Linked DNA regions of Bombyx mori. The protein of the gene in region 1 interacts with the protein of each later gene in a biochemical or structural test. Links are inferred from orthologs where the notes say so. Each region holds a gene or a part of one and is shown in the gene's direction. Other genes may lie near its edges.

Region 1 (16,632 bases):
TTGGTATGTGAATCTTGGTTTATAATTGTAATTATAATTTGTAATTGTAATCTAGTTTGTATATCTGCACTTGTCCTCTGTGGCATCATCAGTGCATACTACATCTACTACATCAGTGTGGAAGAACTGAGGAAATTGTTTATGCATACCAAATACGTACTTAAGATCTTTCATTTAATGTGTAAGTATAGAAGCTTATTTCATATGATTGTGTTAAATAAACATTCAATCATGAGGACGACTTGCACTTGAGGCTAAATATTTTTTTTTACCATAATTTCAACTAAACAGAATGAAAATTTTGTATATGCGATAATGTTTGGAAATTTCCATTAATAAAGAATACTTACTTTTTCAGGGATTGGTTCTATCTCTGCAAAAATTGTTTTCCAGTAAGACCAGACGAACATTATTAGGAGTATGTGGTACAGCACCAAATAAATCCATTGTTGGACTGTGCTTTGTATTGTAACTGTAATATAATTAAGTCTAATGATTTACTATTAATTAAGTGTAAAGTTGGTAATAGTCTTAAACACTTACAAATACAGAGTTGAATAACGTAGGCATAGTATGACCAAGTTATTATAGACACTATGAATGACACTGGAAGCCATTTGAATCCTTTCCAACACCACATGTTGCACGTTCGACAACAGGCACAATAACCAGGTGATGAAATCCTACTATTCTGTACTGATGAAGCCATTTCGATTACATTAATAAATCAAATTGAAAATAATCCATGTTCACCTAAAAAAGAGACAATAAAAAGTGACGACACTGACGGTTGACTGAGTGACATTTCCATTTTGTAAAACGTCAATTTAATCTTTGCATAGAATATAAAAATATAAGTTAATTGGGATGCCATTGCAACGGCTGCCTTACCCTTCAAACCAAAAACCATTACTGCTTCACGGCAGAAATAGGCAGGGTGGTGGTATCTACCCGCGCGGACTCACAAGAGGTCCTACCACCTTACTAGTGGAGGACCTCTTGTGAGTCCATCCATATTAGTGTTATTAATGTGAGAGTATTTCTTTGTTATATTTTCACATCAAATAACTCTGAATTGTTTGGGGTCAGGAATTCGCACTACTTTTTCCTACGTGATGGTGACGATAGGCTGAGTGTTTTAGTGTTAGTTTAGCCTTTAAGATCTTCGCCAACAGAGTCCTACATATCCTGTGCACCCGCTGACGCAGGAAACTTGTAGGAGAATCATACCCCAGCTTGAAAAAAATATCTCTGTTACCGTCAAATTTTAAAGCACATTTCTTATCCACTACTTTTTCCTGCAAACTAATTCAATAATTTGCGATTCCATATTCAGATTTATAAGAGATGGCGGCACTGGTTCTTAATACCAAATCCAGGATAGATTTTATTGTAATGCAGCATGTAGGTAGTAGATCGTAATTTTATAGCATATATGACGCATGACGTATTAAAATGTAATATATACTTCTTACTTGTTCTTACCAGTTCTTACTTGAAACTATCAGTCATAAGTTGATGTCATTGTCAATCTGTTTTATTATCGTTTTTTAGTGTTTTTGTCAATGTATCTAATGTAACTAAAATAAATTTTACTGTTAATTTTAGCTTATTAAGACCTTATTCATTAAAGGTTTCTCCTATTAAAGCGATTTTTACTATTTAATAATTCTTAAAAAGGTAAGTATTATTATATTATATTTAATTTCTGTAAATTTATTTGCGTGTATTATTTTACGCCGTACGTGAATGTTTTTGAATATTTCAGGAAGTTTTAGATTTTGTTCTCAAAATAAAGTTATAAGAAAAAATGTAACGGGTTTTTGTACACATCAAAAATAGCGTATAACTATTTTAGCGATATGGTTTTAAGGTTTTTTACTTCAAAACTCATTATGAAAGAATCACGATGAAATACACTGATACATAATAGTCGAATAATTGGCATTGATGATGGATATTGGCTATAAACCGAGCACCACTAGATCTTGACCAGTCCTGGTGAAACTGGAAAGGCCTCCGGGCCACCAGTAATCCTTCAATCATAAAAAAAAAAATCTTGACCATAGTGCCAAGTACCTATCTATTAACTTATGTGTATTATTATATGGACTTTTTGGCGGGAAAGCGAGGTGTCAAGTTGTGCGATTTGTTTTATTTTGTCTATTTAGTGTTTCTTCAGGCTTAAATGTGTAATAATGGTGGTTTATTAACTGTTTAGTATTTGTGAAAGTGCACAAATGTGGGAAAATGAAACAAAGCCGTTGGACGTAACTTCTCGGGATCCTCCAAAAAGTCCACTGAAAAAATCTCAGTAAACGACCACCATTTTAATGAGATTATATTTCATCCCATATCATCTCATCTCATTTCATTTAATTGCATCCCAGTTGATTAATGTCTCAAATTCTTCATTTTATTTCACTCCATATTAACATGTTTCATTAAAGTATCCCATATAATATAATCTCATTTCATTTATATTTTTATTTATTTCATGCCATGCCATGTTTCATATTAAATTAATCAGCTTCATTTCATTTCATAATATCATATTTCATAAAAAATATATATATAAAAGATTAGGCAGTATGGTGTAATACTTTTGTCTTTCCATTTGGAAAAATAAAACTACTACTACGACTATCTATGGTATTAACAAAAAAAATATTTATGGTATTATCTATGCCGATGGCCAAATTGTTTAGTTTGTCGAACTTCTTTGGTTTCGAAATTCAAACAGAAATTTCATTTTGATAACGTTCAATACTTACTACCTATCTTGAAACAAAATAATGGAAGTCAAAGAATGCAACGATTTGGACGAAGAAGTAATAATAGTCATTTGTGTGTATTAGTTGGTAAATATTGATTCAACAAACTTACCAACATGGTGTATTTCAGAACCAATTCATTGTCGACGACGTGAGTAAAATAATTAAAGAAGCTATAGAAAATTCAATTGGAGGCACTGCTTATCAACACAACAATGTCAACCAATGGACTTCAGCAGTTGTTGAGTCATGTCTGGGGCAGTTGACTAAGTTACAAAAACCATACAAATATGTAGGTACGTGCGTTGAGAATCTAGATTATTTTAAGTAACACAGCATGCATAAAATAAAAAATCATTTATTTTAGGGTCCCTTGTATAAGCTCTCTTAGCAAAAATAAAAAACAATGTTTAAAATTGTATTTTTTTATTGCAAATGAACCTTGAATTATGGAGTTTGCAAGACTCATTTGCATGACTTTTGGAGCTATCACACTGGAATTAATGCTTGCTTTTATTGTGATAGCTAATCTGACCATCAGGAAGAGAGAGACTTATTACATCATTAATAAAGTAATAGCTTAAGGAGAGTGGAGCAGTATACTTGCATCTTTTATGCTATAATTGAACAAACTGTTATTTAGAATTTTCCAGTATTTTGTACAGCATTTAATAATTCAAATTGAAATACATAATTACAAAATTGTAATATTAATGCCTTAAAGGAGCACTATTTGTCGATTTAGTATTAGTTATACATATTTCATTATATATGTATGTGTATAATGAAATATGTATATGTTATTTATGTGTGTAATTGTGTATGTATATAGTCTGATATATTATATATTAGTTTTTTTATATTATTGTTGTTATTGTGTATTGTATCAATAAGTAAATTGATTAGATTGTACTCTTCTACCCACTTATGTAAAGCTCTCCCTCTTTAAGAACGGTTAGCTGGTAGATAAATCAATTGTTTAGTTAGGCTCGCCATTTTATAACTTTTCGCAATTATTGTATAGTATTAATTGTATGTACAATAAACACTAAAAGTATTTACACTATTTGGAGTAATTTGGAAGACTGGCTTCTAAAATGTTGAGCATCTATAAGGAGCTAATTGAACTTCAAATCTCCACAAAAGCTTATAAAGCACAATTCTTTTTTTTTTATTGCCCTTGTAGGCAGATGATCATACGACCCACCTAATGGCGAGTGGTTACCGTAGCCCGTCGATTTTAGCAATGCTAGGGGCAGAGCCAAGTCGCTGCTTATCATTAAGTATTCTCCACAAGATTCGTTTGAAGAGGAGCTCATTCAAAGCTGGATAGTACGTGGCCATAAAGAGCTGGAAACGCACTGTGGATGATGCTGCGATTCCAGGTAGAATGGATGGCTGTGCCCCTGGCATTGCTGATGTCTATCAGTGATATTGTTCACTATCATGTGGGCCGTGTGATTGTTTGCCCACAAAGGCATTAAAAATTTAGAGAATTACCAATACACAAATATATTGGTAATTTGAATAAATGAATTTTCTATTTTATAAGATAAAAGTTAAACCTCTAATGAAGAAAAGCTAAAATGTGTAAATTTACTTTTATCCAATATTTGCTTGTTTTTTACAGTGACCTGCACAATACTGCAGAAGAATGGTGCAGGACTGCATACAAGTTCTTCTTGTTATTGGGATAACACTACTGATGGCTCATGCACGGTCCGTTGGGAGAATAAAACTATGTACTGCATTGTCTCAGTCTTTGGGCTTGGCATATAACATGGATTTATTATATTCATTTACTGGCTTAAAATCTCTTTTATAATACTAATAAAGCAAATTTTTAGTATACTGATAACATAATTATCAAATCTGTATGTTTTATTATGAACTCTTATGTTTCAATTAATAAATAAAGCTTTTATTTTACACTAAATGGAAAAGTATGCTATGTCATTTTCCAGTATATATGCATAGAGAAATAAAGTGTTAATAAACAGATAAGTTTGTTCATTTATGGACAAAAACTTTGGGAGAACAAAGAACTTTGTACCTAAACAACAAAACCTAAGAAAGTAAAAACTGGTTTCATTGAATCTTCGATTTGATGTATATAATTTGTATGCGTTTTCTTGGATGTAGTCTTGTTTTGCATTCCACTGAATATAAATACTGAAAATTCTATTCAAAAGTACAAATTGTGTAAGAGGGAAATTGGAGCATGGTGGTCTCTTACGAAATATATTTTGAGGCTGTTAATTTTACTAGAAAAATCTCAGATTATCTAATAAAAGGCTTCTGTTAGGGCACAACATTGTCACATACATTTATCAGGAAAAGAGATTTCACTTCGAGATGTTTAGGTGCCGAACATGAGGAGTATTGGTTATATTGAGGTGTGTTTGATTACAGGAGCTTTCTGAGAAGGCCCATTGAGCGATTATAAAGAAACCAGTATCATGCGTGATTCCATAAAGAAAACGTTGATCTGAATTTTTTTATATTGCTGAATGAATATAAAACACTATCAGCTTCTTTTTTTTTACTTTTATTGCATAAATGAGTGAACGAGTTGACGACCCACAGTTGCTCACTTTGTAATAAAATTGAGGTCTTAAAATTTTTGTTGACACGAGTAGGTACCTACCTACTTTAGAACAGTGCCGTTACATTTAACATATTATTATGGAACGTTTACCTAACATTGGTAACCCATCAGAAACCCACGGTAGATACGTTCCTACAAACTCCGATGTTATGCAAAACTCGTGTTATTTAAGATAAGATGACTACAAAAAGGAGAGGATTTTTCTAAATAAAACATTCTATACCTGTATATATATTTTAATCTATTATACATAAAAAATAAGCTTACTGTAATTTTCTAAATAATTTTAAATAGAAGTCTCATTATATAATATTGGGTATTGGGGATTTTTTTTTCCGTAAAATACCTACCTTGCGATATCTGGGTTACCTGTACCTCCTGTCTTCTTACAAATTAAATGAAAGGTACCTATATAGCGTTTCGTAGCAAAAAAAACCGGCTGATTGAAATATATACTCATCAGTGCTTTCTTGCACTATTTTATACCAATGAACAAGGCCTGATCTCATGGAAGAAAACTAAACTTTTTTATGCCCTAAATATTTTACAAGTACTGTTCACCGTTCCTAAATACTGAATTGAAATAAAAACGTGGTCCCTATTCAAGATCCTCCATCGTTCTGTTCGAAAAGTGGCAAGACAATGTTCAATGAACTGACAAAATACAATTGTATAAAATTTTACAATAATTATCAGAAAAACAGTTAATAATACTGCATTGTATGCAGAGCATAGTAACTTACTATTTGTGTAGATTGAGCATTGTAAACCAAACAAAACGTAGGAAAGGTATCATGAAAAAATCATGAAGAAATAAAATTACCGATCGAAGGTGATCATCAAATGATGACTTCGTTTATTTAACGATGAGCAGCAAAACCGGCTTTCCAGAATCTCAATACAAAGTAATTTAAATGACGGGTTCCACAATATTCACAACTACATAGTGTAGTCTAGATCTAGTGAATCATATCTAGTGTAATTAACATTACGTAATAGATTTTTTGTGGGTATGTTCCCGGAGATAAAATTTTACTTAAATCATGAATTTTTTCAAACGTTCCCGCTAAAGCTCCTTGGCATATTTGTATCACGTGACCATCATCGATCCAATGGTTGAACGCTTCTCGGGTCCATTCAACTCAACTTTGCGAGCTCCGTGGAGTGGCGTGGAGAGGGCAACTTCACAATTCCGATTCTATTCATAAAAGGAAATGTTTTTATATTGCTGTCTCTCTTACTCATGTAAAAAATTGTAGTGTTTGAGTGAAGTAGCAATATGTTTGATTGGAAATTATTGAAAGCTGGGCCAGGCAGGCCACTTCAGACCAGTCGCCATGTAAATTTTTTTGATGTGGGTGTTGTGTCTCGGCACGTCAAATGCTTCAATGAATTTTATTATTCTCAAAAGAACATTGATTTCGTGTAAATCGTTATATTATTTGTAAATTCGTGCTCATTCTTAGTCCATATTGTGAACAGTGAAACATATTGTGTTGTGATTGTGTACCATCTAATCTGGTGACGGCGGGTAATAGATTGGAGGGGGAGCTGCTAAAATACTACGATAGGATAGTAGAGACGTTTTACTACTCGGGAAGTCGGGAGCGCTAAGCGCTTACAAAATTTCTCATCTCGACGCGAGCGATTACGGTCTTCCATTTTGTTTTAATATGCAGTTTGGTTGTTTACGGTGTGCATCGTGTACAGAGCAATTGCAAGCCACGGTGAGTACTCGGTGAAGTGTTCGCATTGTAAATACGTTGTCTGCGCATGTAGGCCTTACATGACAATAAACATGCAACAATGAATAAGTAATAGTTTGGTAATAGTATTCGATTTTGTGCACCGCACGGCGCAGTCGTGGTAGATGGGTTGCGGCACGTCATTATTTAGGAGAAGCACCCCCGCGGGTATGCTCAGTGGTACGTAAACATCGTTCATCAAACACAAGGTGAATTAATTTTGTATCATTTTAAATTGTAGTTGATAATCATGCGGTGATACTGTGAAGTGTAAATTTAATAAACACGTTACAAGTCTCATTTTAGTAATCTATCAGTATTATTATCAGCTGATTACTCTAAGCGGCCGTCCGCAAACGTCAATGTTATGTATTCAATCACAGGCTACTTGAATACTAGAGTACATCTAGAATAAAATTCTCTTGTGTGGATATTGATCTTGCCTAGGTGAGTACACGACTTTTGTAACTTGTGTATTTACCTAATCATTGCATATACAGGTGTCAATAATTTTAATTACAATATTTCTAAATTGGTTTTATAATTAATTTTATTAGCTCAAAAAACAGTAGTAGTTTAATCTAAAATAAATAAATTCTAAAAATAAAACTAACCTTAAGAATTCTAAAGCTTAAAAGTACTTTAATCTAAAGCATTTTCTTAAAGCATCTTAGAAGAGTATTATTGTTTTTTGGTATTGTGTAATTTCTATGAAAATAATGAAATAAAACTAAAACCTTCATCACTCAATAATAAGTTAGTCTAATGTTCTAAATGATATTAAATAAAAAATTTGATTGATTTTGAAATTTACATAATATGCACATTGAGATTACAAGATTTGTCTTCAATAACAGTTGTCTTTAGTGATAAACAAAAAAAAATCCAGTAATTCAACTCAGACCTTAGTCGAATGTACTGAAAACTTCCTTTTCATCTATTTGCTGTGACTTAAATATTGTCTTAAACTAGCTAGCACAATTTACCTTCAATTTCAATGGTGTCAATGGAGGTAGGACCTCATGTGAGTCCACACAGACGGGTACCATCACCCCGCCCAGTTCTGCCGTGAAGCAGTAATGCATTTTGGTTTGAAGGGCTGGGCAGCCATTGTCACTATATTGAAACCATAGAACTTATATCTCAAGCTAGGTGGCGCATTTATGTTGTAAATGTCTAGGGGCTCCAGTATCCACTTAACACCAGGTGGGCTGTGAGCTCGTCCACACATCTAAGCAATAAAAAAAAAACTTATAATCAGAAATTTGATAATGTAGAAAACGAGAGTCATCCTCTTTTGTTATATGAAATCTGGAAAAACTGCTCAGAAAAGAATGAGTATATCAATTTTCTCTAAAAACAAATACAGACTAATGGAGAATATTCAAATTTGAAATCATAGTTTTTTTATTAATAATATTGACGCTTGAAAGGCAAACGTGACTAAGCGACAATGCATGAACTTTACAGTAGACTAATTTAAAGTTGAAATACCTGATAACAAATTTTATTTTCACGAATCTAGCTGTAGTAGAATCTAGCTAGTAGGATTGAAATGATTTTAATAGACCTAGAAATATATATTTTTTGCGCATCGAATATGGTTATTGCCTATCATTTATGTACAAAGCAGTTATTGTCGCTAAGTCACGTTTGCCTTTCAAGCGTCGATATGATTTAAGTAAAATTTTAATAGAAAAATGTATAGAAAGTGTTGGAGTATACCTGTTCACATTACACATAATAATACACATTAGATATACTTAGTATTTCAAAATTTCTCAAGATATTTATTTATAATTGACATACTTAATTTTGAAAACGATGGTTGTTTTAGCAAAAATATTTATAAACATGGTAACCAGTGCTTATCAGTCCATAGACATCATAACTTGAATGCCAATGCTAATAGATTATTTTGTATTATCAGAAAATGCATCATATTTTCCTTTAAAATAATATTAGAACAATCTTATTGCTTACCTAGTGAATTTTAGGATAAACTAGAGTCCCAATAAATTTTTATTAACCTGAAACATTTTAGTAAATACAAGGCATTTGATTATTGTTTAAGATCCTTCTAGGCTTTTACTTTTGTAATTCTCTACCTAACTACTCAGGAGATCTCATGGACTACCTGGTATCAAGGTATTCAAAGGTCTTAAGTGGATCTTAATCTTCATAGCTAAGCTATTAATTATGTAAAACACATTTGCACCATTTGACAGCTAATAACTTGCTTGTCTTAAAAAAGTCATATGCTTTTATATAAAAACAAGTAAATAAAAAATTACATTGATTAAGTATAATTACACATTTCTGCCAAATCTCTCTTCTCTTCTTCGTCGCTTCCTCATTACTGAGGGTCGTGACCACCTTGATCTAGTTTTTGCACCAGCTGCCTCCAATGTTGCCAAATACTTTAATTTTAATATTATATTTTTTCCATTCAATTTCGTAATATAGAAAAAATATATTTCATGCCTTATGTGTCATAATATTTATAAAAAAATGGCAAATACCACCAATAGTTTTTTTTTTAAATGCATTCAAATTCTGTAAAGTTTATGATTGTGAAGAAACGCAACGAGGGTCTTCCAATGATGCACTTTAGTTTGAATCAGAATTAATCATTACAAAAGTGAAAGCTACCTGAGATTCCACAAATAATATTCTTCCCGTGGTGTGATGGACCAGTCTGTGCCTGTTCACAATATCACATAATATTTATTTATTTAGACACACCAACAGCAATACACACAAAACATTCAAGCTTAAAATTAACATGTATAAAATTAAGTACTGGTATGTAAGCCAGTTACAGGCATGTACAGCAATCTCTTATAACACACTATGTATGACATGTTACAGCAATTTTACAAACAGCGGAAAAATAGGCTAAATTTAAATGTTAACAGTATGACAAAAAAAGGAATATTTGAAAATAACATGAAAACAAGAGTTAACTACTTAACATTCTCTCATCAACTATAAACAAAGGAACTTGGATACTAGTTTGTTTTTGAGACCAGGACACGTGTCGTTAAAAATGTCAATGCCGTCAATTAAAATTCTACAAATGATGTGAAAGACACATCATTTGTAGAACGAATTTATGTTCCAAAGAAAAGTGAGCTTGTATTGAGAAAATACCGACGCCATTTAGGCGGGCTTCGGACAGCCTGCCGACAGAGAGCTGGTGGTCGTGGCGCTGACGATCGCTGGCCAGGCGTGCCGAGGGCGAGGGTGATGGGAGAGATGTGCTCCGCACTTAACGCTTCACGCTAAACGTCTCATGCGAGGCTCGGACGTGGGTTGTTGAGCGACAGGTTTTAGTCGGTTCGACTCCGACCTACCCCGCCCGCCATCCCCAGTGGAGGCTGGAAGTCCGGCAATTTCCTCCTGACCAAAAAAAATACATATTTCTCGCCCTTTTAGATTTTAGCAAACAACACGGATTTTCATGGATTGTTTGGAAGCTCTGGATCTATGGAGGGACTTTGGTTCTCTCTGTTTTCTATTGTATGTTCCGTGGCGAGTGCTAAGGAATTGTTTGAGATGATTGCACCATCTAATTTACACTGCCGCATCGCTCGCCACCGGAATAGATTTCATACATACTACTCATCATTTGTAGAACCGATCGGTACCTTGGTGCCGTGAAGTTCATGCTTCGGTCCTAATAACCGCAAGGTTGGTGGGACCATGGGAGGTGGTGGAAATGTCCCTACTCATCAATTGAGTGCCTTTTAAGAAATCTTTTCTGCCACGAACCTTTCGGTCTTGTATGAATTCCCCACCAAAGTGCTTCAAACTAGGCTTGCGGAGAGAGTACTCAGTAGTACAGAGTAGGTAGGTCTCTACCCTTGGCAATGCTGACGTCAATAAGTGACGGTAATCACTCACCATCAGGTGGGGCGTATGCTCGTCTGCCCACAAGGGATTTTTTTTTACAATAAATAGAATTTTATTAAAATTGAATAGTATATTGCAATAGGTGAATTAAAACATTCCTTAACCTCCAGTGTATAAGAGCGATGCAAATTTTTATTTTAACTATAACAAAATTTCAGTTTGAAATGTAGCGTAATGGGATAAACGTTATACAACGTGAGCGTCGAATTATCTGTCCAATAGTTCTAGTACTTCCGGTCGGTTAAAAATAACAAAAGAGGATATATTCGGTTTAGTGATTCGAACTAAATCTGATCTATTTCTGAATATAAAGTACTGAATAATCCGTCGGTCGATGATTAATACATACACAGTTGTAATTGATTTACGGAATTATATTAATGCAGTTGAAGTATTTTTTTTCCAGTTACAATAATAATTATCGTTAGATATATATATTTTTTGCAGTTATAATTATCGTTAGATATTTTTTTTTTGCAGTTATAATTATCGTGAAATATTTTTTGTATGTTTTTATTTTCATTACATCTCATTGTCACATTGAAACTGTTAGATTAAAACAAATTTGTTAATGCGATGTGCTTGCAATTTAGAATACCAATTTATATTAGTATCATAGTGCACACATTAAAATAAGATTAAATTTAGGATACACTAATACAGAGACAAACAGACGAAAATACTGTTGTTTTATTTTTAACGTATATACTACAGAGCATGTTCATGTCCATAATATATGTAATTAGATAGGTATCTTCTTTTATAAAAATAAAAATCGATGTCTGTTTGACTCGATATAAAAACGTAAATTAAGTAAATGAAAATCTGAGGTATAAAAAGTTTTAACTCACCATCAGCTTTTGTTTATTTCTGGATTTTATGTTTTTTCCTTTAGGCGCTCTGAAATAGTCATAGTGCCACAACAAACTATAGTTCGCTGGTTCGTAGTTTAAAAAAAATTATCGACGTTTTACATCTACTGGTGGTAGGACCTCTTGTGAGTCCGCACGGGTAGGTACCACCGCTCCGCCTATTTCTGCCGTGAAGCAGTAATACGTTTCGGTTTGAAGGGTGGAGCAGCCGTTGTAACTATACTGAGACTTTAGAACTTATATCTCAAGGTGGGCGGCGGCATTTACGTCGTAGATGTCTATGGGCTCCAGTAACCACTTAACACCAGGTGGGCTGTGAGCTCGTCCACTCAACTAAACAATAAAAAAAACCGGCACAGATATTAATAAAATAAATTAGGTCTTATTATAATTGACATAAAATAGATGCTCGTATTTTAATAAAACGTGTGTCACCACGACAATCGTAAAGTATTTGAAGTTTCGGAAGTTTCGGTAATAATATGTAGTTAATAAGGAACACGAGATTAAACCGTAAAAGTAGTTTTAGTTCGTGACTTCGACTCTGGAAACCTAAGAAAATAGTAAAGATTACAATAAAAAATGAACTTTGCTTGGGCATGTAAAGACGATAATGATAGATAGATATGTTATTAAGCATTTTTTTATTATGATCCGCGCATGGTTCCGCATATTTATTTTAAGAAATAGAAGTTCGGGGACAAAAATGACATTGTGTGAACTCCATTACTTAATTGGGATTAGATATCGTCAAACAAGATTTATGAATATCAATATTAAATTGAATCATCGTGACACGTCATGAATGCTTTCATTGCTATTTGATGTTTAAAATGGCCAATAGTAGAGCCGCTTTTTATCTTACGATAGATACAATCGAGCACGAAGTATGTGGCGAGACGTGCCCAGAATACATTAGCACGTAGCACCATCAAAAAGCTGGTGTTTTATGACACGGTTCGTCATTTCTGACCTACGACCACAGTCCACAGTATGATAAAACATTTCTTGTACATATTTTGGTGTTTGAAATTCGTAACATTTTTTTAACGGATGATTTAATTTTTCTTACAATTCTAGTATTATAAGCTTAATAGTTAATGTTAAATTTGTTTGGTATTTTAAAATTAATAAAATGTCTCATCATTGTGTTTGGATACGCCGCTTTTAAACGTTATAATCAGTGAGCACTGATCAGATACGTCTTATAGTGTAATTACTTTCGACTTTTGTTTCTTGTTCAAGTTTATTTTTATTGGCATAGTAGTCGTGTCAACGCCATACATGGTGTTAAGCGGAGACCTTAGAAGTACGTGAACGCCGGCCTCCTCTAGATATGAATTCGATGTTTGTACTGAATTGGAATAACGATTATTCTAATCCTCAAATCGAAACATTTGTGACTTTTGTGATGGAAATAGGACGGTAGTACGGATACGTGCAGCGTAACGAAATGCCGCAAAAATGTAAATATTGTGGGCTTGAATTTGTTACGCGATTTATTCCTTGTTCGGTGAAGTCCTCAAGGAATACATATTTTGTTTTATTAAGAGATTCTGATACACACAAGATAAAACCTTTTTTTGTATTGTTTTATTTTCCGAATAATTAATTTTCATTTAGCCAATACTGATAATAACTGTTTTAATACATATTTGTTGAAAATTATTGTTTTCAAACCAATCTTCCCAGTTAGTTTGCACGTCAGGACGGCTTTGTGGTGTAAAAAAACATTTATGATAAAACCTATAATGTTTGAATATTGTTTGAAATATTTTTCAATGCTAGCTGTATTTAATAAAAAAACTGTAAGCGATGATATTGAAGTCTGAAGTAGACGACGGGCTCTAAGTACTTATCCTTTCAACACTTTTTGTTCCTTTGTACCCAGACTGCGAGAGCGAGACAGTCACGAGAGAATCCGTTCCCGCCAACATTAAAATCCCCTCTTAGAACAAAGAACAAGCCTCTTATCACCGAACATTGTGTTCACGGCTTTATTTCAAACTTTGTGCCGATGTTATTTTGAGCTATTAATTAATACTGTTTGAATATTGATCAAGCATACTATTTGTTGGTTATTTATAATTTAAGATTTTATTTTATTAACGGCCGTCTGGTGTTTAACGGCCGTCTGGTGTAGTGGTAAGTGACATGGTCACTACATAAGGGGGTCGCGGGTTCGAATCCCGGCAAGGGAAGATATTTGTATGATAAATATAAATGTCTTTTCCAGGGTTATGGATGTATATTAAAAATATGTATGTGTATAATAAAAATCTTACATTTATTTCCGTTATCTGGTACCCGTAACACAAGTTCTTTACGAACTTATCACGGGACCAGTTAACGTGGCGTGATTGTTAGTAAATATTTATTTTATTTATTTATTAATGGGCCGTTTCATTTGTATTTGTCGAGATCGTAAGGTCCAATCTGTTTTTGAAGGTCCTTGTTTATTTAGTCTACCTATGGAGTGTAGTTTACTGGTTGCCATTGTTAATAGACAGACACTACAAGGCGAACGCCGACGCCCGTTTGAGGCATGAGATTGAAGTCCCATGGGTATGACGGTGAACTTTCAATTCGGATCGTTTAGTGTGCTTAGTGCGCCCCTAGCGGCAAACCTAGGCAAACGTTCCAACTCCATACAAATTTGAGTTAACTTTTACGCTATCGAGAACGTTAAAAAAACTCGCACTCAGCACACTGATCGCACTATTGTTCGCGACAGAAATATGTGTAGTATAATAATATGTACTAGTGGTCCCGCAGTAGTCGAAATTTGACTATAATTAATTGGAATTGTAAGTTTGTACACTATTATGATTATATTTTATACTTCTATAATCACAAATTTCACCAAGGCTACACTATAAAAAAATATTAATTAACGACAAACAATATTTAATCTATTCTCAATTTGACCACAGACGTCAAGAACAAAACTTTGACAATAAATAGTATGCATGCGTGTGTGCGTCAAATACATGGTATGTAGTGTGTGTAATGTTTTCTTTATTGATTTAATGTATTTTTTATGCATTATTTAAAAAAAAAATTAGCATTGTGCACTTCTTCTTTATATTCTCTATAAGTGTAGAAAATTTCATACTAAGGTAAAAGCACTAATGCTAGACACTTTAAGGACAAATCAAACTTCATTCTCAGGTATCAAATGTATTTATCAAAAATTATATTAAATCTTTTTTTTTACTGTTAGAGCAACATTTAGAGATCAATTTTTTCATATAAAATATTTCAATACTGTTGTAGTTTCTACAAAAAATTACAAACTTGTTAGTTTTGCCATAGACACTAAAAGATGACAGCATCGAAAATCAAATCCACCAAAAATTGACATCAGTTGGCACTAATAATAGACACGACTTTAACGTTAGTTTTATTATAAACAATTATAATCAATCTTAAGATCATCAACTATTTTCTTAACGCTATCTTGTAAATTATCTTTTCCTATTGGAAACCCTTGTTTGACCATAGCTTTTACCCATGTTACGAGTATTTTTTCTATATATTCGGTTAAATAACAACTTCTTCCCATTTTACGCATAATAGGTGTCTTTCCCTCGACTTTATTTAATAAAGTTACTCGTGGAACTCCAAATTTCTTTGCCGCAGTAGCTGTCGGAACGCCCCGCCTCATACCCTGGACCAGGAAGGTCAAGTACTTGGGAGTCACCCTGGATGCATCCATGACATTCCGCCCACATATAAAATCAGTCCGCGACCGTGCCGCTTTTATTCTCGGCAGACTCTACCCCATGATCTGTAAGCGGAGTAAAATGTCCCTTCGGAACAAGGTGACACTTTACAAAGCTTACATAAGGCCGGTCATGACTTACGCGAGTGTGGTGTTTGCTCACGCGGCCCGCACGCACATAGACACCCTCCAATCCCTACAATCTCGTTTTTGCAGGTTAACAGTCGGAGCCCCGTGGTTCGTGAGGAACGTCGACTTACACGACGACTTGGACCTCGAACCGATCAGAAAATACATGAAGTCCGCGTCGGAACGTTACTTCGATAAGGCAATGCGTCATGATAATCGCTTTATCGTTGCCGCCGCTGATTACTCCCCGAATCCTGACAACGCAGGAGCCAGTCACCGTCGTTGCCCTAGACACCTCCTTACGGATCCATCGGATCCAATAACCCTTGCATTAGACGCCTTCCGCTTTAACACTAGGAGTAGAGATCACGGTAATCGTACTCGTCGAACTCGGCAAAGAGTTCGACGTGCAACCTAACCTAAGCATCAGCCCGTTGAGTTTCTCGCCGGATCTTCTCAGCGGGTCGCCATCCCGATCCGGTAGTAGATTCATTCGCGAAGCACCTACTCTTGAGTTGTTAGGTCTCCCTTGGAGGCGCTCGGGTAGCTGTTAGCAAATCCCGCCCCTTCTGTCCATGTGAAACTGGAAAGGCTTCAGAGCCACCAGTAAACCCTCAAACATATACATTCTTTTATGGCTTCTTCAATATTGGCTTCAGAGTATTGAAACATCTGACCCTTTACTGGCGGCATCGTGCTCGAAACTGAAGCTGAAATTAATTGATACTAATAGTTGACATCTAGTATACCCTAATAGTTGACACTGTCTTCGTTTAGTTAGACTAGTGTAAAATGAACGAAACTCAGATTGAAACTTTTGTTTTACAACATAAAGGCTGAATTTGAAGAAAATTAAGCTAACAAA
Region 2 (15,866 bases), on another chromosome or scaffold:
TGAAAACTTGAGAGAGAATAAAATCATATAGATATTTACATAATTTAATTGATAATAATTTTAAACTTACATATATAACTCTAGTACAAATTTTCAAACACTAACAACACCTTTTATTTTAAATTTCGTGTTCAGATAAATATGATAAAAAATGTATATGGTATATACTAGACCGTAGCTTTTTGTCCTCTCAAATTCGGATTGGCTAATATTGGAGTTCTATTAACGCAACGGGCTGGCAATGATCGAATTGTTCAAATGTTGATTCAGGACAGAGGGGTGTCCTCTGTGCCGTGTATTTGAGTTCAAAAGTCACTTCAACTGTTGATGACTTTGAGTGGCGCTGGCCGAAACATGTGAACAAAAGCTCATTTTCAAGTTTCGAGTAAGTTTAAAACTCATCAATGCAATGCATTGCACGGCGAAGTCTTTCAGACTTTGAATGAAGTAATAAAAGAAAGTCTTGTGGACTAACTATGTTAAACACGAATTTAGCTAAAGTATAAAGAAAAAGTTTTTCAATAACCAACCAATTGAGAACAGTTGCCGATAAAAACAATTTTAACATATTCAACAATTCACATAAGAACAACTTACTGAATCTTAAAACGAATGACTAACCCACTAAAAGTAGTTTTTTTCTATGTATTGACACATTTTTTATTGTTTTTATTGCGTAGACACTTGAATGAGTTCACGACCCTCCAGGTGTTGAGTGGTTATCGGACCTCATGAACATCACCACGAGAATTCTATCACCCACCTTAGGCCATGAGGTCTATGTCTCAATTGTATAGTATCACGAGTGTCCCACTCTTGCACATTGCTATATTGTATATACATGTATTGCTTTGCGATAGAAATATGGTTCCTATCCCTGCGGGCTCACAAGACGTCCTTACTAGTAATTAGGCATACTATATAACATATTATAACATAATCGAAAATATTCGATTTTCTTTAACATATCTATACTATCTATACTAATATTATAAAGAGGAAAGATTTGTTTGTTTGTTTCGAATAGGCTCCGAAACTACTGGACCGATTTGAAAAATTCTTTTTCCATTAGAAGTCGACATTGTCCCTGATGAACATAGGCTACTTTTTTTTTTTTTTTTTTTTTTTTTGTTTCATGTGTGTTTTAATGTTTCCGAAGCGAAGCGAGGGCGGGTCGCTAGTATTATTATAAAACACGAACAAAACTGAACACGTCAACAGGAAAAAGTCTATTCGATAGATCAAAGGAGGCAAATATCCGATTTAAATCTAATATGACTGGAAAATAAAGTCACACTCGTGTTACTGGCATCTTTTTTAATTTTTTTATGACATTTGATCTCTAAAGTATTGAAACTCAAACTTTGACAATTTGTCAATTTTTTTAATTCATATATTTAAATTATGAACTCATCTTTGGTTTTCACACCCAAGCGCTAAATCGATTTTGATTAAATCGTGTGGGAATGGATAACTTTTTTCTATTTTTTATTGCTTAGGTGTGGGCGGACGTGCTCACGGCCCACCTGGAGTTATGTGGTTACTAGAGCCCATTAACATCTACAGCGTAAATGCCGCCACCCACCTTAAGATATGAGTTCTAAGGTCCCAGTATAGTTCACGATTGACTTCCACGGTGAAGGAATAACATCTTGTAGCAGAAATCAAACCCGCAAAATTATTATTTGCATAACAACTGGTGATATAACGTCTTGTGAGACCGCACGGGTATATATCACCAACCTGGCTATTTCTGCCGTCAAGCAGTGAAGGGTGGGACAGCAGTTGTAACTAACTAACATGAACCCTAAGGATTCTGTTACCCCCTAAGGTGTCAAAGGTTAGGAAAATATACTAATAATACTTAATAGTAATTGTGGATAATTACTGTAAATTTTATATATTCAGCTAACTAACCTAACTAACCTGGGCTTCCAGTTTCCAAATCAGGATTTTTATTGATCAGTTTTCAAATTTATCTCATTTCGGATAAAATGTACGCGGGGCACGCGGTCCTACATTTTATTTGACTATACAGGAAACCTGAACTTATGCGACCCGACTAAACCAGTAACGTAACAGAGAACGGACAACCTAAATCGATGTACCGTAGACTTTAGAAGCACACTAACAGAAGACATTGTTACGCGCTGGGGGTTCGGGATAAATAAAAATTCTACCGAATTACAAATTGAAACTGTGTTCTACACTTAGAACAACACAGAACACTTTAAAATTCTCAATTAGCTTCTTCAGGCGATCCGTTCGCCGTTTCGCTTCGTGTAGTTCCTATTACGAACTGACTGCGTGCCATCTCTGCCACGCTTTTAAAGTCGAGACAAAATTCCCAGAATCGTCGGGAATATTCCACAAAAGTCAAGTATTGTATGTTTCCGCTATCTGACAATAGATGGCGTTGTACTCCTCGAGCGTTCTAGGTGTTACTGGATCCTTAGATATTCGTTTGGCGACTCAGCGATAGATGGCGTTACTCTTACCGGCGTAACAATATTATGAAATTTCATCTCTAAATCTTTTTTTGATGAGCTGGTGAGGTAGCCGATATTGAAAAAGTAATACTGTTATATATTGTATCTCGTTAGATTAAGGGGATTGAGAGGTGAAACAATAAAATACATAGTTTTTCGTAATCAAATACAACTAACATTACATTAACTTCCATTTTTGCGTACGATATCACGGAACCCACCTCTGTTCGTTTATAAAAACACGCGTTCATCTTTTTTATATTATGCTAATAAGATTATTATTCTTAGAAAAGCCTCTTAGTGTAAAATGATTGCGGGAGTTTTCTCGCGCGTGTTCGTAAAACAATCTGTTTATGATCACAAGAATATTAAGCGAAATTGAAAGTACAGCTTTTGGTTTTCCTTATTTCTTAAATCTGCAATATGGAATTGCAGATTTTCTTATCTAAGTTTTACATGGAGTTTTCAAATAGCAAAAAAGAGAATCCCTACAATTTCGTCTAGCATGCCTACCCATGTGTCTGGGACATTTAACTTAATATTATAAAATCATGTTGAGCCACCGACGGGGCTTGATATCATCCGAGTGCGGAGGCCAAAAGTCTGGTCTCGTTGTGGATTTGATACAAATACAAATTTGATATTTTTTTATTGGCCTTTTAGGCAGACGAGCACACGGCCCACCTGATGGTGAGTGGTTACCGTCGTCCATGGACTTCAGCAATGCCAGGGGCAGAGCCAAGCCGCTGCCTACCGATGATTTGATTTGATTTATATTTATATCAGATGGACGGCTGTAACAACTTCCACTTGAGGTGGCTGGATCGGTCCTTGCGAAGTAGGTGAAACGTAGCCGTAATGTTTATACCTTCCGGCTGATGTAAACGATAACGAGTCTCTACTTCGAATGTTAGCTGCATCGCGACAACCAAAGGGATCCAATGGACACAATGGAGCAGAGGCTCTCCACTTGTCCGGTATGGGAGGAGCAGTGTCGTGTCCTTGTCGGTCAAATAGAATCTGACTTTTTGTCAATCATTAGTGTAGTGATGAGTCGTAATAGGACGATACGAGACGGTAGACTCGCAGGAGATGATGAATCGTGACAGAGGCCTCTCCCTCACTATACCCGTTCTGGAGGCAGAAAAAGGGGCTACAACAAACTCTAGTTCCTGTGAGAGGCGGACTCCTTAGGAAATCCGGTTTGGGGCAACCGGCAACCACAAAGCCGCGCCACATAGATTAAAATTAAGCAGTGATCGGCGTAGATAAAAAGAATTTATTGATTTATTAGAGAATCTCAAAATGAATCATTTATAAAATGTTATCAGGTACAGCTTAAAAACATCAATAGTTTATTTTTTTGTTAAAAAAATTTGTAATATTCTCAATCCAATGTTGGTCTTCTAATATATTTACCAACGAAATTATAAGTAAAATGTTCACTACTTTGATTGAGATGTAATACATAACTTGTTCTAATATAATAAGTTATTCCATTAAGTTGATTGATCCAATGTCTTTACGATAATACAAGAAAATCTTGAATTATTTACTTATTTTTTTTTTTTTTTTATTTGCACTGCTTTTGGTTGACTGGTAGAGAATGCTATAGGCATTAAGTCCGCCAATGTATATTTTACATGAAGTGTAATAAATACATAAATAAATCTTATTACAGCTCTCTGTATTAGACAAATCATTGAATTGTTTTACTTGTACCGATTGGTAGACGATATCGACGACCACCTGTTGTTAAGTGGTTATCAGATTTAGACCGCAACACGAATGGCGCTACTCACCTTGAGATTGAAAACTGAAGTCGGAATTGTTAAGTAATAACCGCTATTCAGCCCTCAAAGCTGAATCGCATGATTGCTTCGCGAGAGAAACACACTAGACGGAGGATTTCACCTTAGCGGACCCACAGTCCATTAGAGATTAAACAAAATTCTACCTCTCTGATTTGAATTAAATAATATTATTCCTTAATAGTGAATGCGGTTCGTAAATATGTGTTAACGATATATCTTGGTATTTATATAGAAATATCGGTAATAGCCACATTTTTTTAACTTTGATACAATATGAGTTATTGAAATGAATACCCCAAACCTCCCTTTTTTTTGCTTAGATGGGTGGACAATCTGGTGTTAAGTGGTTACCGAAGCCCTTAGACATCTATAACGTAAATGCCGCCACCCGCCTTGAAATATGAGTTCTAAGGTCTCAGTATAGTCACAACGGCTGCCTTACCCTTCAAACCAAAACGCATTACTGCTTCACGTCAGAAATAGGTAGGGCAGTGGTACCTACCCATGCGGAGTCACAAGAGGTGAACCTTGTGACTCCAGGTACCAGTAAACTTTTTACGACTAAGTGAAAAACTAGCATGGAGGCATTTAAAGTCCATTCGTATTCATTCTATTTTGCTGTAGTAAATTTCGGTATCCCGACAAAGGACAGTAGAACAGTAGGTACTAAAAAACTGTTCCGGACATGAGGTACTTCTAACAGTGCAAAATTTGAAAAAATATACGTAAAAAGTCCAGTATATAGGTTATATAATAAAAAAACAAGATTTCCAACTTCAGCAGCACCAACCTAATAGTATTTGTGCGGTGTGGACGCAGGAAGCACCATACGAGACGAAATCCACCTGAACTCCCAATATAAACCATACGCTTAGTATGATTAGTATTCGTATAGTAGTCAGAATGTAGAAAAAAGAGGTAAAAACTCCAAAAAACAATTGCATGCAGCTCAAATTCAGGTCTCCAAAAGGTATTCTCAAAAAAGTAATCTTTTGGGGAGTTTAACGAAGGAGGGAAGATCTTCCACCGAGCGGGTGATATTGCTCGGTAGACCGACGGTCCAAATGTTGTTGTTCGGAACTTGTATATATGCGCTTTATCTTGAAAATGTCGTAAGCGAGATTCAGGCATCTGTCAATTATCTTGCGTTATATGATGGCTACCCGCCACAATCTCAATACTTAAGTAAAATAATAATAGTATAAGCTTTATTTATATGTTAAAATAGATGTTACTAGAGTCGGTTTATGATTTACATTTTTGTTCCCAGTTCTGCCTTCGACAACGTGAAGAAATCGAAAGTCGCAATTAAGAAAATATCTCCATTCGAACATCAAACGTATTGCCAGAGAACATTACGGGAAATCAAAATTCTAACTCGGTTTAAACACGAAAACGTAAGGAAATATCCGTGTCATTGCTGAATCATTCATTATGGTTCTTTACATTATGCGATTTAAATGGGAATGTTCGTTTACAGATTATCGATATACGAGATATTTTAAGAGCTGAAACTATTGATCAAATGAAAGACGTTTACATCGTTCAATGCTTGATGGAGACCGATCTTTACAAGCTGTTGAAGACCCAGGTACGTTAAAACTATATATCCGAAAGAAATTGCGCAACTAACATACACTAGGGACATTATCAAAGGCCAAAAATTGAGGGCTTTCAATTTTAAGTTAATACGTACTGAAAACTTAAATAACGCATACATTTTAATGGCTAAAAGTGATTGGTGTAAAACTAGATTACACAACTGTACAAAAAAATTCGTTCTTTGTCCTAACGTTTGTTCTAGGTTTATCCGGTTAATTATTCACAAAAACTAAAATAAAATACCTTTTTTTTTGCTATAAAGTTTGCTTTTGTGATAGTTATAGTAATAATAATAATTTTTAATTTTATTTTATAAATTTTAATTAATTTTAATACTTTCAAAAAAACCGCGCTATGAGAGTGGGGTGTTTACGTTTATACAATCGGAAACAACGATCAGGTGTTTTGTACAAGCCCAAAAAAACTTAAAATGTCACGAAAGTGTAAATACGATGCTGATGCGTTTTGTTTCATATTATGTGGTACAATTTATTAAAGTTCAAAAGCAAACTTTTTCATGCCATGTTTTTTTTTTTTTTCGTCTAGTTACGATCTAAAATACCGAAATTTTATGCTTTGCAATCAAAGTCAAATTTGGTGTTGACCCGTGTTATATATTCATATCTGGCTTTATAAAATGATATTTGACTTTAAATAATCGAATGTATTTTTTCATTTGTCTTCTTTGTTACAGAAATTAAGTAACGATCACATCTGCTACTTCCTGTATCAGATCCTTCGAGGACTGAAATATATTCACTCTGCAAACGTCCTCCATAGGGACTTGAAGCCTTCTAATTTACTACTTAATACCACGTGCGATTTGAAGGTAAGAAATTATTCGATTTTGTATGTCACTCGAAACTGTCTCCTTAGTTAATAATAAATTATTGAAATAGCTTTCCTATTATTAGAGAGGAAAAACGAATGTTGTATTTTGTATTCAATGTTGAATGCAATATACATAGTATAAATTCTTCTTCTTCGCAATCGTGTCACTCTTAACAGAGTGGTCGTGATCGTCATGTAGTGTTGGAGTGGGCAGACTTGATGCGTCTCACGATGTCCCGCCATCTCTTCCTCCTCGAGGCCATTCTACTGCACTCATTTAGGGGACCTCTTATTACAGTTTTAATTTGGTCGGTCCACCACATGGGTAACCTCCCGCGCGGTCTTGTGTATATATAAATATTATAGATTATATATATATATATATACATGAAAGTCGTCAAACATCAAAGTCGTAAGTACCTTGAATTCAACCACAAATCTGAATCGTTAAATTTATAAAACGATCGTATGATGGAAAACGTCGTACGAATCTCAAAGTACCCTACAAAAGGGTATATAAATTTGAAATCTTTCGGAAATGGCGCGTCGTGATGACGAAGCCTTGTAATGTCACACGGGATGTATATACGTTGAAGTGACGATCGACGATTTTGCTATAAAACAATCACGATAAGATAAATCTAAATGCTAATTGTGATATTTTTTTAGATTGTTATTTTGAAGCTAAATATACGGAAACGGCGTAATTTGAACTAAATGTTGCCGAACACGAGGTAGCGAGGCGTGACAAAGTACCACGCTAAGTTTTTACGATGTCATTCCGTGTTGTCGATCGATAGCGCTCTAAAGGACTATTTATACGTCTCCAGTGGCTATTTTAATGTTCATAAACGAAGAAATATCACTAAACTAGTACTTTATTGTGAGACGTTTATTGATACCTATGAAAGAAGAACATTGTATTTCATGGTTTTATTTATTGTACGAGAGAGAGAGAGAAAGGGAGCTTAATGCTACTTACATTTGAGTCTATATAGATGATCGGATTATCGAAAATCCTGTATAATGTTATTATACTGTATATAATCCTAATTTCACTTCATGCGAGCTTTGCAACCTCTCGGTCCACTGAGAGGCTTTGGTTCTCTTTGTATTTCGTGCCGTAATATCCACAACGAATACTTTGAGGAATTATTTGAAATGTATGTTTTGCATTCGCACCAATTGCCATTGGGAGTAGAGGTTATCTCTACTGTCCGTGGGCTTTCGGAGATATTTTAGGCTTTGGAGTGAAATTCAGTTGTTTAAAAAAAATATATAAAAATATTATGTAATAGTGGTTTTTGATAAACGAAAAATGAAAACATTATGTAATGTTCATAATAAATAAAATATGCAAGCAAAGTCATATTTTAATGTAAAGATACATCAATAGCAAAAACTCCGTTCGTATACTGAAACGGGAGAACTGAAGCGTTTAAAGAATTCGTTCGGCTTGGCAATAAAATATGTTCAGACTCTAATAAATTTGGATCGCCTATTCATAGATATCATCCAAAGTCATATTGTATAATATTATGGAAGATATCGAAGAGATAGGTATTACATACTTCCTGTCATTGACAAGCTTGAGCCAGGTATTGTGTGCAGATTATAAAAAAAGGAACTAGAAACAAATCTCGCACGGTCAAGTTGCTTTCAGCCTACGCCATAATATAATAGCATATATTAAATAGCTCATAGCACAACAATATCGCACACCATACATTGTTAAGGACATGTTATGTACTATATATTATTGGCTTAGTATACGGCTTACTATAGTATACTATACTACTTACTATTATTATATATTATACTTACTATACTATACTTACTATACGCTATACTATATGGCACTAGATCTAATTATTTAATCGTTTCATAATAATATATAACTTAATACAGGCGATAAACAGTCAAACAGTATTAAAACTGTTCAGAAATAAAGAAGATATACGGGGTGTAATACCAAGCTGTGCAGACAAAACATTAAATTAAATAATAACGTCATTTTCCAAATCCGCCTAAAGAATTCTATAGCCAATACACGTTTTTTCGGAAATGGACAGTGAATCCGCATTCAATCACACGTCAACCGAAAACGTCCTGAATATCGCAATCGTGAATTTGCTGATTTCAATTATTCATCCAAAACAGTTCTTTACATACGACAAACAGACGTAAGCACCAAATGACGTCAATCATGGGCTTAAATTGCAATACGTATTGTCTTTGCTTTGCTTCGATCTATATAAAAACTGCTTCTGTCATTATCATATGGTTGTAAGCTTAACATATGCGGTGGTACCAACTATGTTATAGAGTTACATTCCAAGGTCTTTGTAAAAATTACCCTTTTTTTTTTCTTAGTGTCACACAACTCTAATTTGTATTAAAACATTTTTAAAGGCAGGTTTTTTGATATTGGAAGCAGCAATAAATCTATTTTTTGCTAAAAACTATCAATCTATAAAATGGAAATTTCACATAGAGTGCTTTTAATTTGAGAACACACATATACAAGTGTGTATGTATTTTATTTTATGGAATCAAGCTAGGCCGACTCTATCTAGTAGTTGGTACAAGGGACAAAAAACTATTATATAAAAATAATTTTGGCTTACATTATATATATATTTATTTCCTTATATTTGTAATTCAAAATGTGATTCGATATGGCAGGTTCAGACGCTTAATTCATTTTTCACTGAATATAAAATCGTAGTCTAACTTTGGAGTGCTCACAGTGTACATTAATAAAAGACAGGATTGATAAATCATTCGCATCGATGGTACGTCAGAAAGTTCCGCTATCCTGGATTTTGACTGTCTTGCCAATGTTTTAGCATGTCAGTCGAATTTCAGAAGTAAGGTATCATTATAAACAACAGGCTTATTAAACAATGGTTCCATTTGCCTTCTATTACTATAATAGCTAATAAGCTCAGCACTAAAAAGGTTAAAGTCAGGTCCAGCCAAAAACGATTACGTGACTCCAACGACCAATTCAATTGCGTTTAAATAATCCAAATTTTTATTTTTTATTTTTTATTGCTTAAATGGTTGGACGAGCTCACAGCCCACCGGGTGTTAAGTGGTTACTGGAGCCCATAGACATCTACAACGTAAATGCGCCACTCACCTTGAGATATAAGTTCTAAGGTCTCAGTACAGTTACAACGGCTGCCCCGCCCTTCAAACCGAAATGCATTACTGCTTCACGGCAGAAATGGGGAGGGTGGTGGTACCCACCCACGTGGACTCACAAGAGGTCCTGCCACCAGTAATCCAAATATGCACTAATAGCTACTTAATGTGCACTTAGTATCGATCGTACTAACCTATGTCTAAATACATCGGACGAGTTATTATATTACGAGTAACCTCAATCAAAACAGTAAAAAAAAATATAGCAGTACAGTTCTACTGAGAGTACTATAGACGTTTTACGGTAGATGATTCTAGAAATAAAAAATTCATAGCTTCTTCAGTGTCTTACCAACCGTTAATCCTGAGCAATGTATTACGGCAACGTCGAAACTCCTCGAGATCTCGGCTTTTCGAGTGAAGGGGCTCGTTACAAGTGCTTTTCACGTTTTGGTTCGAGCGGATATACAATTTCTTTGCATATTTTGTTTTTTTAAAACTCGGGTATACTTTAGTGGAAGCTCAGTTATTTTTTCGTTGCTGTTACAATAATAAGTTGTTCTGTTTTTCTTTTGCGAAAACAATAAACAAAAGAATTAAATTCTGATCTAAGTACTCCTATTTTGAATATTCTTAACTTATCTTTTTTTTGTAACTTTTTTTTTATTGCTTAGATGGGTGGACGATCTCACAGCCCACCTGGTGTTAAGTGGTTACTGGACCATAGACATCTACAACGTAAATGCGCCACACACCTTGAGATATAAGTTCTAAGGTCTCAGTACAGTTACAACGGCTGCCCCGCCCTTCAATCCGAAACGCATTACTGCTTCACGGCTGAAATAGGCAGGGTGGTGGTACCCTCCCGCGCGGACTCACAAGAGTCACAAGAGGTCCTACCACACGTAAAAGTACTTCTGATCTACTCCTGTTTTAAATATTTTTAACTTATCGTTTTTCTTTTTGTAACTTAGGATTGCTTTGTTAATTTTTTATTATTGTATTGAACAGATTTGCGACTTCGGTCTGGCGCGAGTTGCGGATCCTGATCACGACCACACCGGTTTCCTCACGGAATACGTAGCCACGCGCTGGTACCGTGCTCCTGAAATCATGCTCAACTCAAAGGTATATAGTCTATAATATTATTATATCGAGAGGTGAAAGGCTATTTGGTTTAAGGGACATTTTTGCAACTTTAAAAGATAGGCATTTAAAATTAAAAATTTGGGAAAAAAATATAACAAAAAACTTCTTCAGCTATTTGATTTAAGGTAAACTTAATTAAAGTTCATTTAAAAACATCGAATTGTTGATGTAATTCCAAATAAAATGAATCTTTAATTACAAAGATAAATGATGTCGCATATTAAGCCAAATGTCGTTCAAACCAAATAGTTTTTTACCACACAATATAGTTCGGCTTGTTGTATCATGATGAAAACTGATAAATAATAATTTTCGAATGAAATGCTGAACGTACTTCGTTTTCTTCTAGTCAAAAATCGCGTTACAAGCTTATAAGAAAGACAAAACGTATGAAAATATCCGTGAATTCGTTTGAAATCCACTTGAACAAATAATTGAGATTACTAGAATGATTTTGAACAGCAAACATTGATAATACACTCACTAAATATGTTATTCGATAACACCGTAATACGTTACTATGTATGTGATATTTATTAAACGCGACGCGTAATGCGCCTGTATCGATGACGAATTGTATTTTTGAATGTTTGTTAAATGAATCATTGTTTTACTTATTAAGGCTAAGCGTAGACAACAATAGATGCTATGGCCCAAATTATTTAAATTTTCTCGCTTATCTATACTATTATCTTGTTACGACGATTTTTAGTTGGAATTCCCTATGTTCAGTGCTGTCGCGAGCGCGGTGGTCAAAGGTAGGCAAAAGATTGCGGGGTACGCGATTATCCGTGTTAAAACAAAAAAAAAACATGCTAATAATATTATAAATAGTATCGATAATCTATTGAAATAATGTTATCTAAACAAATACAAAACGAACACCAAGAACGAAGAATGTCCGATGGTTTCGTCTAAGTAATCTAGACTTTTTATGATTATTCTTAAGTTGGCCGACGCAGTTTTAGCAACGAACATACCACTCCATATACATAAAAAGTAAAAGCAAATAAAGCTCGCATCATAAAACTCAATGCCTCAAGAGACAAAACTGAGAGAATTTACGTTCCGCATAAAAGTCAACCTAAGCTGGAGTAATTTCTGTCCTGGCCCCCAAACTTGGCAAGAATTACACGTATCGTACGCAGAGGTATCTTTACATCGAGGCCCCGAACCTATTTGTTTACAGAAGAATTCGCATTCACATTTCACCTCCGCAATATACTTCACAGTTAAATGTTGAACGTGCCTGTGCGATAAAACACTTGAGGAAAGTAATACGATTTAAATGAAATTCTAAAGGACTTCTTAACTCACCAAATAAGTAGACTTCATTTGCTCTAATTGATTATTAACTTTATATGTTTCTAAAAATATAATAAACACATTCTTAACATGTGAAATATATCCTGAAACTTCCCTTACATATTGGCTTTACGTATTTCATTAGAACATTTTTGGATTCAATACATTCCTGCTATTCTCCTCGTTTAGGATATTTTGGCGTTATTCGCTGCCTCAATGTCAGTGAAGGCCTATAATATATGGAGACAAGAATCTTATCCGTCTGGCGTAATCGAGATCAAGTTTTGAGATGAAACGACAAAACAAAGCCCTAGTCTCTACATAAATTATATAATTTATTATGTTATTATCTGCGGCTTTATTTTGCCTTCTGAATAAACTATGGATGTTTTCAATTCTCCCTCAGAATTTATTACGTATTTAAATTTAATTAAAACAAAATGTCTTTTTCTCTCTCGCGCGATATACCGGGTAGACCTTAATAAAATTTCGTTTTTAAATCTATAGGAGACCGTACAAGCTCACGTATTCATAAATCCACAATTATTAGGTTGGTATTGTAGTCATAAATCTAGTCCCGAACGTTGACACATTTTAGGTACATCTGCTTGGGCGAGTAATGAAATTTTCTGATATAAAACGATTTTTGTTTTAACACAGGGCTATACCAAATCAATAGATATTTGGTCAGTGGGATGTATTTTGGCGGAGATGCTGTCCAACAGACCTATATTCCCGGGCAAGCACTATTTGGATCAATTGAATCACATTTTGGGAGTGCTCGGTTCGCCGAGTCAGGAGGATCTTGATTGCATCATTAACGAAAAGGTAAGCCAGTTGTAATATACCGATGAATTGTGAATGTTTAATATCCGAAGGGCCGAGATTAGTGGAAATTTTGAATTTCCTTTTAAAGTACTTTTGAAACTAATAAAAACTGTTGCATCATATTCAACTCAGTGTTTTACATAATGTTTAACAATTAATTATGTCTAATATTAAAATTTGTTAATATGAATTTTATCTGACTTGAATTTTTTGAATGATATAGTTTAGTATTTAGTATAATTCGACGTCGTCCAACGGTCATTACGAATCCTCTCGATCCATTAACAGTGCTTTTAGGTAAAACAAGCACCGGTCACCGTCCTCGTCGAACCCGTCGCTTGCGACGAAGGGCTCGACGAGCGAATTAACCCATAGACGCAGCCCACTGAATTTCTCGCCGGATCTTCTCAGTGGGTCGCGTTTCCGATCCGGTGGTAGATTCTGCGAAGCATTGCTCTTGCTAGGGTCAGTGTTAGCATCACTCGGGCTTGAGCCCCGTGAGCTCACCTACTAGTTAAGGTTACGCTGAAATAGCCTCCCAAGGCTATCATCAGCTTAGGTAAGAAAAAGAAAAATAGTATTATTTTAATTTAGAGACTATATTATTTATGAAGAATTTGCTCATTGTAATTACAAAGGTTGAACCATCTGTTTTTTTATTCCTTTGTCATTCTAAAAACTACACAGCCCGAGGCTACTACCATTACAGACATCCACTTTATTACATACAAAGGAAAATCCATTTTGATATCTGAGATCGCATCATATCATCTGTTCAACTATCCTGAAAATGATAGTCTACTGTTAATTATATATAGACTTATCGACAGTTACTATTAAAAAACTCGTTCGACGTATAGACAATTGAATCTACACCTCTCATTATACTCTGTAGGCTTTATTGCATCCTTTTGTCTGTATGTTTAGTGATTTCGTTTCTTATAAAGAGTGAATTCATTTCATACCACGTGGTAACTAATATAATAAGAGTGTGGGTGGGATAGTGTGAGTTTAAAAGTCTTTAATTCTTTTTTTCGGTATTTATTGAAAGAAATTTCGAATTTTCTGGTTATTCTGTTTAATTATTTTATTCAGGATAAAATATATTATAAATGGATTCTTTCGTGAAGTGGCGACTTGAATCGCACGTAATGATGTAAACTCTTCGTTTTTGTGCTCTTTTTCTAAGAGCCTAAGGGTTTTCTTGAGTTGACTTGGTTGAATAAGATACGTATTTAGACCGCGAATCAAATGAGTCCTTTAAAGGAGGGTCATTAAGAGTCTATGTCCCATTAAACTCTCAATACTGTTGAGCTGCATCTTAGTTTACCTTAATATGTGAGTGACACTTTGTCTGCCTATTCGATATTGTTTCGAGGTTTAGTTAATGCTTTGTACACGGTACTACTACGGGAAGTTTTGAAATCTAGTTGTTTTGCTATAATATGTAATCTTTTTATCTATCGGCTTATTCAGAACGTTGTAGGTAACATATTTATGCAATCGCAATGGGCTTTTGATACTGTTATATTAATTTTTTGATGTTGACTAGCAACATACATATTTTTTAATTAAACGTAATCATACGTTAACAACAAAATAAAATTGTTGCTAAAAGTAATGTGACGATGATGTTGAAAGAAATTTTCTGTAAATAGTCTTCGATTCAACATATTTGTTACAATACTTACAAATTAAGTGCTTTACAAAATTACTAAGGTTCTAACAATAACAGCTTTATAATATTATATTCAATTTTATTACTCTCGGGATTGCTCGATGTAAAATCAGCACAACAAAGACGTAAACGGAATGTTTTTAATTTTCCTTTTAAATCGACTTCGTCTATTATACGCAGCGTCGCGAGTGGAAAAGTTTTCATACCGCTTTTGTATAATTTTGGGCCTGAAATTTGCCGCATTAATTAACCTCATCAAAAATTCAATTATAATTGAATATGGCAATTCCGAAAAGGGCACATGTCGCATATTTTGTCAAATACGTTTTTTCATATACATGTAGTTTTGAGGCTTACTTACACCCATTTTATAATAATTCCAGTAATTTTCAATTACTAATTAACACTAAGATATATCTCAAAAGTTAATATTTTAAATTTTACACTGCTTTGAAAATAATCAGATATTTTTTTTCATTTCCTGAACATTTTACATTTTCAGAGATGTGCCCTTTTCGAAATTGCATATTCAATTATAAAAGACTAGCGACCCGCCCTCGCTAAGCTTCGGAAACTATAATTTATTATTGATTTCTCCACTATTTAATGGATGTTATTATACATATAAACCTTCCTCTTCAATCACTATCTATTAAAAAAAACTGCATCAAAATCCGTTGCGTAGTTTTAAAGATTTAAGCATACATAGAGACAGACAGATATAGGGACAGAGAAAGCGACTTTGTTTTATACTATGTATTGATTTACGAATGTTTGCGTTTGCTCCTAATGTTTAGCCCAAAATGTTGTTTGCTGTTCAATCAGGCTCGTGGTTACTTGGAGTCGTTGCCGTTCAAGCCTCGCGTGCCGTGGGTGGACCTCTTCCCCGGAGCGGACCCTCGCGCCTTGGACCTGCTCCATCGCATGCTGACTTTCAACCCTCACAAACGCATCACGGTCGAGGAAGCCCTAGCCCATCCGTACCTCGAGCAGTACTACGACCCGAATGATGAGGTATGT

Evidence for each region.
Region 2: the proteins of putative transcription factor capicua (region 1) and Erk form a complex in vitro, tested with the Drosophila melanogaster proteins (2 studies listed by BioGRID). The link is inferred for Bombyx mori from reciprocal best matches to the Drosophila melanogaster genes cic and rl.

What each region holds. Positions count from the first base shown.
Region 1 is NC_085113.1:8,152,053-8,168,684, forward strand, and holds the start of putative transcription factor capicua, read left to right. Parts: upstream 1-6,215; 5' UTR 6,216-7,109; intron 7,110-16,632. Other genes in the region: palmitoyltransferase ZDHHC2, read right to left, coding at 351-472, 544-709; dynein molecular motor protein light chain 1, read left to right, coding at 2,796-2,831, 2,905-3,070, 4,405-4,553. UniProt on the Drosophila melanogaster protein: Transcriptional repressor required for the specification of numerous cell types during embryonic development. Required for terminal patterning of early embryos.
Region 2 is NC_085116.1:4,088,587-4,104,452, forward strand, and holds part of Erk (extracellular regulated MAP kinase), read left to right. Parts: intron 1-5,573; coding exon 5,574-5,700; intron 5,701-5,783; coding exon 5,784-5,894; intron 5,895-6,599; coding exon 6,600-6,734; intron 6,735-10,897; coding exon 10,898-11,014; intron 11,015-13,000; coding exon 13,001-13,168; intron 13,169-15,671; coding exon 15,672-15,860; intron 15,861-15,866. UniProt on the Drosophila melanogaster protein: Serine/threonine kinase which acts as an essential component of the MAP kinase signal transduction pathway to regulate proliferation, differentiation and effect cell fate decisions in various tissues.